3 linked regions of the Yarrowia lipolytica genome follow. The protein of the gene in region 3 purifies or fractionates together with the protein of the main gene of each other region. This does not show direct contact. Links are inferred from orthologs where the notes say so. Each region holds a gene or a part of one and is shown on either strand. Other genes may lie near its edges.

Region 1 (2,468 bases), about 1.3 Mb from region 3:
GGCTCAAAAGTTCCACCATCTGTTGATCAAAAGTGCATTCTGAGGACATGGAGATTACCAAACACCTGCTCACTTTACCCGCCACCGAGGCAGCCACAAACGGGCCGCTTTTAAAAACCAGTTGAACCCTGAGCCGCTGTTTTCGGAGCATTATCGCTCGCTGTGAGACGAGCAACAGTGTTCATACACACTGTTACACCGGATTAAATCCGTGGGTGAGAGATCTATTTTGAAACAGATCCGAGTCACACCAAAGATCAAGCTCTGAAACATCGTCGGCGTATTCCTATACGCATTGGATCATCATTGCCTCGTCCTGAGTCTCCATCCTCGAACTCCCCTCTTGTATCTACACTGCTTCATAACCAATATCCATTATCTATAACTGTCTGTTGTCTTTTGTATCCTCGTGGTACCGTGGTCGTAGTACCGCGGTTGAGCCACCCACACCATGCAAGCAGTGGCCATCAACTGCTCTCAGTGAGCAGCAAATCGTCAGATTAGACGTCTCACTTGTCTGAGGCTGTCAAAATGAAATTCTGTCTGAGGCTGTCTGAATGCTGTCAGAGGCTGTCTGAATGCTATCTGAACGCGGTTCTCAACGCAGTCTGAAGTGCTTCTTACTGCGCCCTAATACGGGTTGAACCGCCCACTCTCCTTGTACTGCTTGACCTTCTCCTGATCCTCCTTGAACTTGGTCAGCATGTCGGTCATCTGCTCCTTCTTGTACTCTCGGATCTGGAACCGGTAGAAATCCTTCTTCTCCCGCTTCTCTCGTCGCTTGATCTCAGCGAGCTTCATTTCCTCGGCTTGCTGCTTGGCGGCCTCCTGCATGGCCAACGACTTCTTTTTCTGCGTCTTGACCACCGTGGTGAATCCGTCGGCGTCCACCACCGTTCGGCCCGTCTTCTCCACCTTCTTCTCCTCCTCCTCTCGGGCCGCAAACTCCTCCATGAAATAGTCCACCTCGGCCTGCAAATCGTCGGGCGCAGGGAAACAGTACTTCCATAGCAACTGGTATCGCTGCTTGCCGCCAATCGTCAGCTTGGCGTCCCACTTGACTCCACATGTAGCATTCTTCTTGGCCTGACTCAACACCCGGTTGCAAGAAGCCGCATCCACCATGTGAATACGACCGCAGCCGCCAGAAAGACCATGTGTCAGCGACTCGGCCCGCACATTGCGACTCACATTCACCCATTCAAAACTCTCCACAATGCTGCCCCCCAGACTCTGACACAAGGCCTTGATGTGAGAAAGAGTCGAGTCCGCAGGCAGATTGCACACAAAGATCGTCGAGTCCTCCGACGCAGCAGAATTGTCGTCCTTCTTCATGTACAGATAGTGCGTGTTGCCCTTGGGCATTTTCAGCGGTAGAGTCTCGTAGCCGCTCATTCTGGTCGCAAAATGTTTGTGCGTGTATGTGTGTAGATGTAGGACGGGATTTTTTTTAGACGTGCATGACACATGTAAAAAGATTCACCGCAGAGGTTATGAGAAGGATGAGGGTCAAATTTTGGAAGGAGATTGTTGGGTGTGTAGGAGGGAGAGGGAGTTTCTGTAGTTGTAGATTTTTTTAGTTTTTTAATTTTTATTTTTTTATTTCTTGAGTAATTTTATTTTATTTTATTTTATTTTATTTTATTTTATTTTATTTTATTTTATTTTATTTTATTTTAGTTTAGTTTAGTTTAAGTTTATTTTAGTTTATTTTATTTTATTTATTTCTGTTCATTTATTTAATTTCCTGTTCATTTCATTTTATGTATTTTATTAGTTCATTTCATTTATTTCTTTTTATTTTATTTTATTATTTTATTATTTAAATTTCGTCCAGTGAAAAATCCCAACCATTCACTTTAAAGTAGACACAACTGCTAACAAAACCCAACCCCCAAAACTCCCCCAATAATGCTCCAAATTTGATGATTATTGCATCCACCACCACCGCCAGCTTCCAGCACTTCCCATCCAAATTTTCAGCCAAATCTACATATCCAAAACTTCACCAAAATGCCGAGGGTAATAAAACCCTAATTCGTTTAAGGTTCACGTATCCGACCTCCCATTACCTAATCCATATGCATCGTTTAAACGGCACTAAAACACAATTATTTCGTTACCATTGTATTTTTCGAACCGCCAGGATCCTAAAAATATCAATTTTGGCCCCAGTATCCCCAGAATTATCCATGTTTAGCCCTCACCACTTTCGGAAACTCTAAACCACCAACTACACCATCACCATCTTTTTCTGCACATCCAAAACACCACCGAACACAATGTACGACCCAGCGCGCGACTGCTACCAGGCCGAAGGAGAGTCAGCTGACGCCCGAGACGCCGCGGAAATCGCAGGCGGTGAATTTCTTGCTGACTCAGCAACCCCCGAGACCAAGTCCGACTCCACCAAATCCGACGGAAACGATCCCAAGCAAGAAACGTCGGAAACAAAACGACCAGCATAC
Region 2 (2,108 bases), on a different chromosome or scaffold from region 3:
CAAGCTAAAATTAGAGTTTACGACCGGAAAAATTCCACTCAGAAAGAGTCGGCTATTGAAGATAGGTGTGGACTCTTGTATTGTTGGTTTACGTAGATGAAAAAATAATCTGAAAAGGTGATTTTGGTTACCAAACCAGTCTCTTCACAATTACAAACAATTTTTCTCCTTTATACAAAAGCATATTCAGTTACAAGCACTTTGAGCTAACATCACAACCGCATCCTTGCATCATCCCTCTATTGAAAAATACGAGCCTATTCCAGTTAGAAATCAACCAGCCCTTGCTCCAATCGTGCGGCATCGTTAGTCAGGGTTTGGCGGTGGTTGTATAGTGGGGAGCGTGGGTGGAACATTGCTACAGTGAGAACGATATTGTACAATACAGTAGTTACATAATAACACTATCGAGCCACTTACTCAGGAGCCCTTGTCTTTTGTTTTGGAGTCACTATCATTTAGTGCTATAAAATGGTTAATATTGTAACTATTACTTGGACTACAATTGTAGCTACTAATTGTAGTAGGTTGCTACTACCACGGTTCTTGCAGCTGTAGGTACTGGTTTGTACTTGTCATCGCTACCGTTCTCTCTCAGAGCTATCAGTATACACCTACAGACATAAGGACCGGATTAAAAGATTCCAGGGCCCATAAGAACCCACATGAGACAACAAATAATACAACTCACGTGAATAATAGAGGTTTGCCCCGATTCAATTTTCAGACACCACTTAGTCATCATCACCTCTCTGATAAAGTTCATATGCAAGAAATATTTCGAGGATGCCATATTGCCATTAACCATCACCAGCATACAAAAACACACACAAAATGAACATTTTGAACAATGTGGATGGATCTGCCAAATGGGAGCAAGGAACAAGTGTGATTTGCTCGGTCACGGGTCCCATAGAAACTCGGCGACGGACAGATGAACCTACACTAGCTCAGGTGGAGCTGGTGATTCGTCCTGCTATTGGACAGGCCACAACCCGGGAGACACTGATTAAGGATCGAATCTACAGTGTTTTGGCCGCCACAGTGGTGCGAAACTTGTACCCTCGCATGTTGCTTCAGATTGTGATTCAGATTCTTGAACAGGGTGAAGGAACCGGATACAACGTGCTCAAGCTAGCGGCATGTCTGAACGCCATGTGTCTGGCATTGATTGACAGCAGAACGCCCATGACTGGTCTTTTTACAGCAGTCGCCATTGCCATTGTCGACGATAAGCTCATTTTGCATCCCACTCGAAAACAGGTGTCTCAGTCGACGTCTACACATGCTGTTTCGTATTTCGTGGAGAACAACAAGGCCACGGGTCTGTTGATGTGTGAGAGTGAAGGTGAGTTCACCGAGAACCAACTGTTTGAGGTGCTTGAGCAGGCCGCACGTGCATGTGAAGACGTGGCTCTGGATATGAGAGAGCGGATTGAGAAGGGTGTTAAGGAGGGCCTTCGAATTGATGCTGGGCAGGAGTAATGCATCGGTAATTTATACCTATTAATGGATAGACATGAAAAGACACGTAATAATGGGCGGATGACAGGATGTACTGTAGTTTATGACACACTTGAATGATACATAGTAGGGCAGGAGCCTGTAGGATTTCTATAGAAGGATCGACATGTTGAAGTAGGATCAAAGACACGTATAACGAATCCAACGTACAAGTACAAGTATGGATGTACTGTACTTTTTTGGTATCAATCATACAAATACAACAGCTGTCTCTTAGTTACTTCTACAAGTTCATATTAATGCACACACGTATATTTACTCACACTACCTTTACACTCTCATACAATACAATACACATTATTCATTCAGTAGAGATTTACAAGATCCACCTAAGCAGAAAGCTTCTTGAAGTCCTCAACCATGGAGTTGAGACCCTCGATCTCGGCGGTCAGAGCCTCAAATCGCTTGGTGTTAGACTCCTGGACGTCGGCTCGCACCTTGGTCTCGTAGTCCTTAACGGCCATCTGCTTCTCGAGCGAAGCCTTGGACTTCTCGCACTTCTCGATCTTGGTGTGGGCCTTCTTGATCTCGGCGTCGAGGTCAACGAGACCCTTGACAAGGATGTAGACAGAGCACTCAGGGCT
Region 3 (3,220 bases):
TACCAATCCATCAATTACCCATATCGCCAAGTGATTGGCCCCATACATTCTCAATCCATGAAATCTCATTTGTAGCCTGAATCCATGAAAATCCAAAGATCTCAGATTCGACCCAGAAGGACCAAAGAAGTCGATTATTACATTATTTCAACCACAATAAAACCATGTAAGAAGTCCATTTAACGAAAACTTGTCTCCATGTGGCTCAATCGGATTACACCCTTCGAACCATGTTGGTTTGAATAGCTACTTTTTGGTTGAAGTCGAAGGGTTTGAGGATGTAGGGCGAATAGGTTCCTTTGCGCTTTCTGGCACTCATATTTGTGCAATAAAATACGTCTTTTCCTCTCTTGTCGTTATGGTGCACCTCTAGTATCGTACTGTTGTACATTTTCACATCCATACTGTCTTTACACTAACTAAAACCCCACCGTGTACACGCAAACACCGCTAGCAACGCTCTATACCAATCAACCATCTCTAATTATGCTACATACATCTATTATAGTCCTTTTTCCGTTAGTTAAACCTCCATCTGCTCATCCACAATAGGTCGAGACTCGCCAGAAATCAATTCTCGTCGAATTTCAGGTGTAATCTTGGGATGGTTTTTGACCTTGATGACATCCAGAAGAGCGTCTCGCTGATCCTCCGTGATATCACTCTTGTATCGCTGGGCAAAGACCAGAAGGGACTGATGCCAGATGACGGGGAGAGCCTCTTCAACGTGAGCGAAACGCATGAAATGGAAGACCACGGCGTCAACGACTCGGTAGGGCAGAGCGTACTTCTTGTCGAGCAGCACCTTGATGAACAGAGAAGTGGGGCCGGAATAAGGCATCTCAGCCAGTCTCATGAGAGCAGCAGCAGAATGCAAAGTGGGGATAGAGACCTTGGACAGAATGGAGCTGACAATGATGGCCTCCTTGAGTGTGCATTGCTCAGCCAAAGGGAACAGGAAACCCTTGAAGAAGGCAGAAGGCTTATACAGAGCCTTCTTCAGGGATCGATAAACGTGGTAGTTTAGGGTCTTCTTCTCTTCAATCTCCTCCTTGAATCGCTCCAGCAGCACAATCTGGATGAACTTCTGGGCCTCCTTAGCCTGCTGGTTGGACACAAACATCTTTGTTCCTTCGTAGATTGCGTTGGGAGACCAGCTAGCAGGATCGGTCACGTACAGAACATCCTGCCAGTTTCGCAGCGTAGGCACAATCTTGAATGCCTTGGGCAGCTTTCCAGACTTGTATCGGCTCAGAAGCTCTCCGACCTTCTCGTAGACTGCAATGACCTTGGGTGGAAGCATGACTCCCTCTCCCTCCAAACCCTGGGAGGTTCCAGGGGCCTCTCCAGTTCGCTCAAACTGCTCCTCCTCTTCCTTCTCTCGAATCTTGGCCATGATCTTATCGGCCAGAGAAACAGGCTCGTCCTCATTGAAGTACTTCGCGTACAGAGCAGCATCCTCAGGGGTCATAAACTCCTGTTGCACATCCTCGTACTCCTCGTACTCCTCCTCATCCTCCTCCTCGTCTTCGTCCTCGAATTCCACATCGTCATCCTCGGGAAACTCCTCGCCTCGCTCCTCCTCATCCAGCTCTCGCTGCTGATCCCGTGCCATCTGCAGAATTCGTCGCGAAGTGGCCGAATCAATAAAATCCTCCTCTGCAGCATCGGTCTTCTTGGTGTTTCGGGAAGTCTTCTGCTTGGCGGATTCTCGAAGAAGTCCGCTGCCCTGGCTCATGTCGACATGAAGCGGGCTGTGTCGCACCTTGGCGTCTTTAGTATCAGCTTTTCCCATGGTTGTGCGGTGCGTGGTGTTGGTGATATGGTGGGATTAAAAAATATGCCAAACCGTATGCAGCATGCACAATTTTTTAACGTTCCAAAATAAGGTTGTCACGTGACACAAATCGAGGGGACTAAAATTTGGTGAAACGAGATTATATTCGTTTTGATCGGATTTTTGCAGAGAGAACGTTGGTGCGAATGGTATGAGAATTTTATGTATTCGCCACTATTCCGAGATTCAGAGTAACTATAGGGTTAGGATATAATCTTATTTATCAGTCCATAATGCCAGACGACGACAACCTGGAACTGATTATAGATTTCACGTTCGCCATTAAGATGCGCAAGATTTCTCATTATGGTGATTGCGATGGTGCTAGAAGTATGAATAGCTACTTATGAGTGAAATTCCAGTTCGACAGTTTATGGTGAACATTGGCTACTACAGTATGGACAGTATGTACTTCTATGTGTATACTCGATGTTCATGTTCCTGTTGCTTGACGTCATCATACCTCCACAACTAGCCGGAAACAGATTCACTTCTTTTTTTCTCATGCAATTGACTGAATACTGTACATATAATGCATTTTCACCAGAATTCCGAGTAACCAACTGCAAGTCAAAGGGGTACGAGTTGAACTGGGTTCACAGTTTTAACAGGGATAAGGGGTACTACTTGTACGATACTTGTAAACGGGTGAAATTTCAGAAACCTTAGCGAAGGAAAAATGGTAGTCAACAGAAAAGAGATTCGACTTTTCCTAATCCCTTTTAAACGGTCACGTGACTAAAATAACCAGCCCCATTGCTGCTCACCTTTGACTTTTCCTAATCCCTTTTAAACGGTCACGTGACTAAAATAACCAGCCCCATTGCTGCTCACCTTTGGGTCTCTTCCGAGCCGGCTAACGGTACATTCTCAACGGTTCGATAGAGTTTGCGAGTCAGCAACATGGAGGATGGCCGTATTGGATCCGGGAAGCTATTTTTCAGGGGTATGGAGTTGATAGACAGCTTCTAAGTGGTAGTATAGGTCTAATCACGTGACTTTCACGATCACATGGGGCGGCTGGAGCAGTTTTAAGCCCTTCTGTTGAGCTCATCGCATCATGCATTGCTTTTTAATTTTGGCTCTCCTCTTTCTTTTGAGTTCACTATATCAACAGCAACTACTGGGCTTGGCTTGGTTAAAAGGAGAGGCAGTGATTGAAAGCATTGGCAACTGTATCTCTTACGTCAGTCACTTCAGACACGCCTTTCTACACACACGCACGTTCACAGAGACACAACCACAGACACACACAGACTCACAGACACACATACAGAACAGACATAACACACGATGGTCTTACTACTGGCAAACGTTGCGAAGGGGATGAGCACGGATGAGGCTCGGGCTAGACGAAACGCACGACGAGAGGCCCGAAGACAG

The links.
Region 1: the proteins of YALI1_C05636g (region 3) and YALI1_C18892g purify together in Saccharomyces cerevisiae (affinity purification with mass spectrometry, with the first as the bait; 3 studies listed by BioGRID). This does not show direct contact. The link is inferred for Yarrowia lipolytica from reciprocal best matches to the Saccharomyces cerevisiae genes ENP1 and RRP7.
Region 2: the proteins of YALI1_C05636g (region 3) and YALI1_F26915g purify together in Saccharomyces cerevisiae (affinity purification with mass spectrometry, with the first as the bait; 3 studies listed by BioGRID). This does not show direct contact. The link is inferred for Yarrowia lipolytica from reciprocal best matches to the Saccharomyces cerevisiae genes ENP1 and RRP46.

The regions. Positions count from the first base shown.
Region 1 is NC_090772.1:1,887,897-1,890,364, forward strand, and holds YALI1_C18892g (uncharacterized protein), read right to left. Parts: upstream 1,396-2,468; coding exon 631-1,395; downstream 1-630. Other genes in the region: YALI1_C18878g (uncharacterized protein), read right to left, coding at 17-151; YALI1_C18901g (uncharacterized protein), read left to right, coding at 2,283-2,468. UniProt on the Saccharomyces cerevisiae protein: Plays an important role in the synthesis of 18S rRNA but is not required for the 5.8S and 25S pathway. Is necessary for the cleavage at site A2. Is required for efficient association of RPS27 with the pre-ribosomal particle.
Region 2 is NC_090775.1:2,690,254-2,692,361, reverse strand, and holds YALI1_F26915g (uncharacterized protein), read left to right. Parts: upstream 1-834; coding exon 835-1,485; downstream 1,486-2,108. Other genes in the region: YALI1_F26873g (uncharacterized protein), read right to left, coding at 1,854-2,108. UniProt on the Saccharomyces cerevisiae protein: Non-catalytic component of the RNA exosome complex which has 3'->5' exoribonuclease activity and participates in a multitude of cellular RNA processing and degradation events.
Region 3 is NC_090772.1:561,810-565,029, forward strand, and holds YALI1_C05636g (uncharacterized protein), read right to left. Parts: upstream 1,796-3,220; coding exon 524-1,795; downstream 1-523. Other genes in the region: YALI1_C05649g (uncharacterized protein), read left to right, coding at 3,131-3,220. UniProt on the Saccharomyces cerevisiae protein: Required for normal export of the pre-40S particles from the nucleus to the cytoplasm.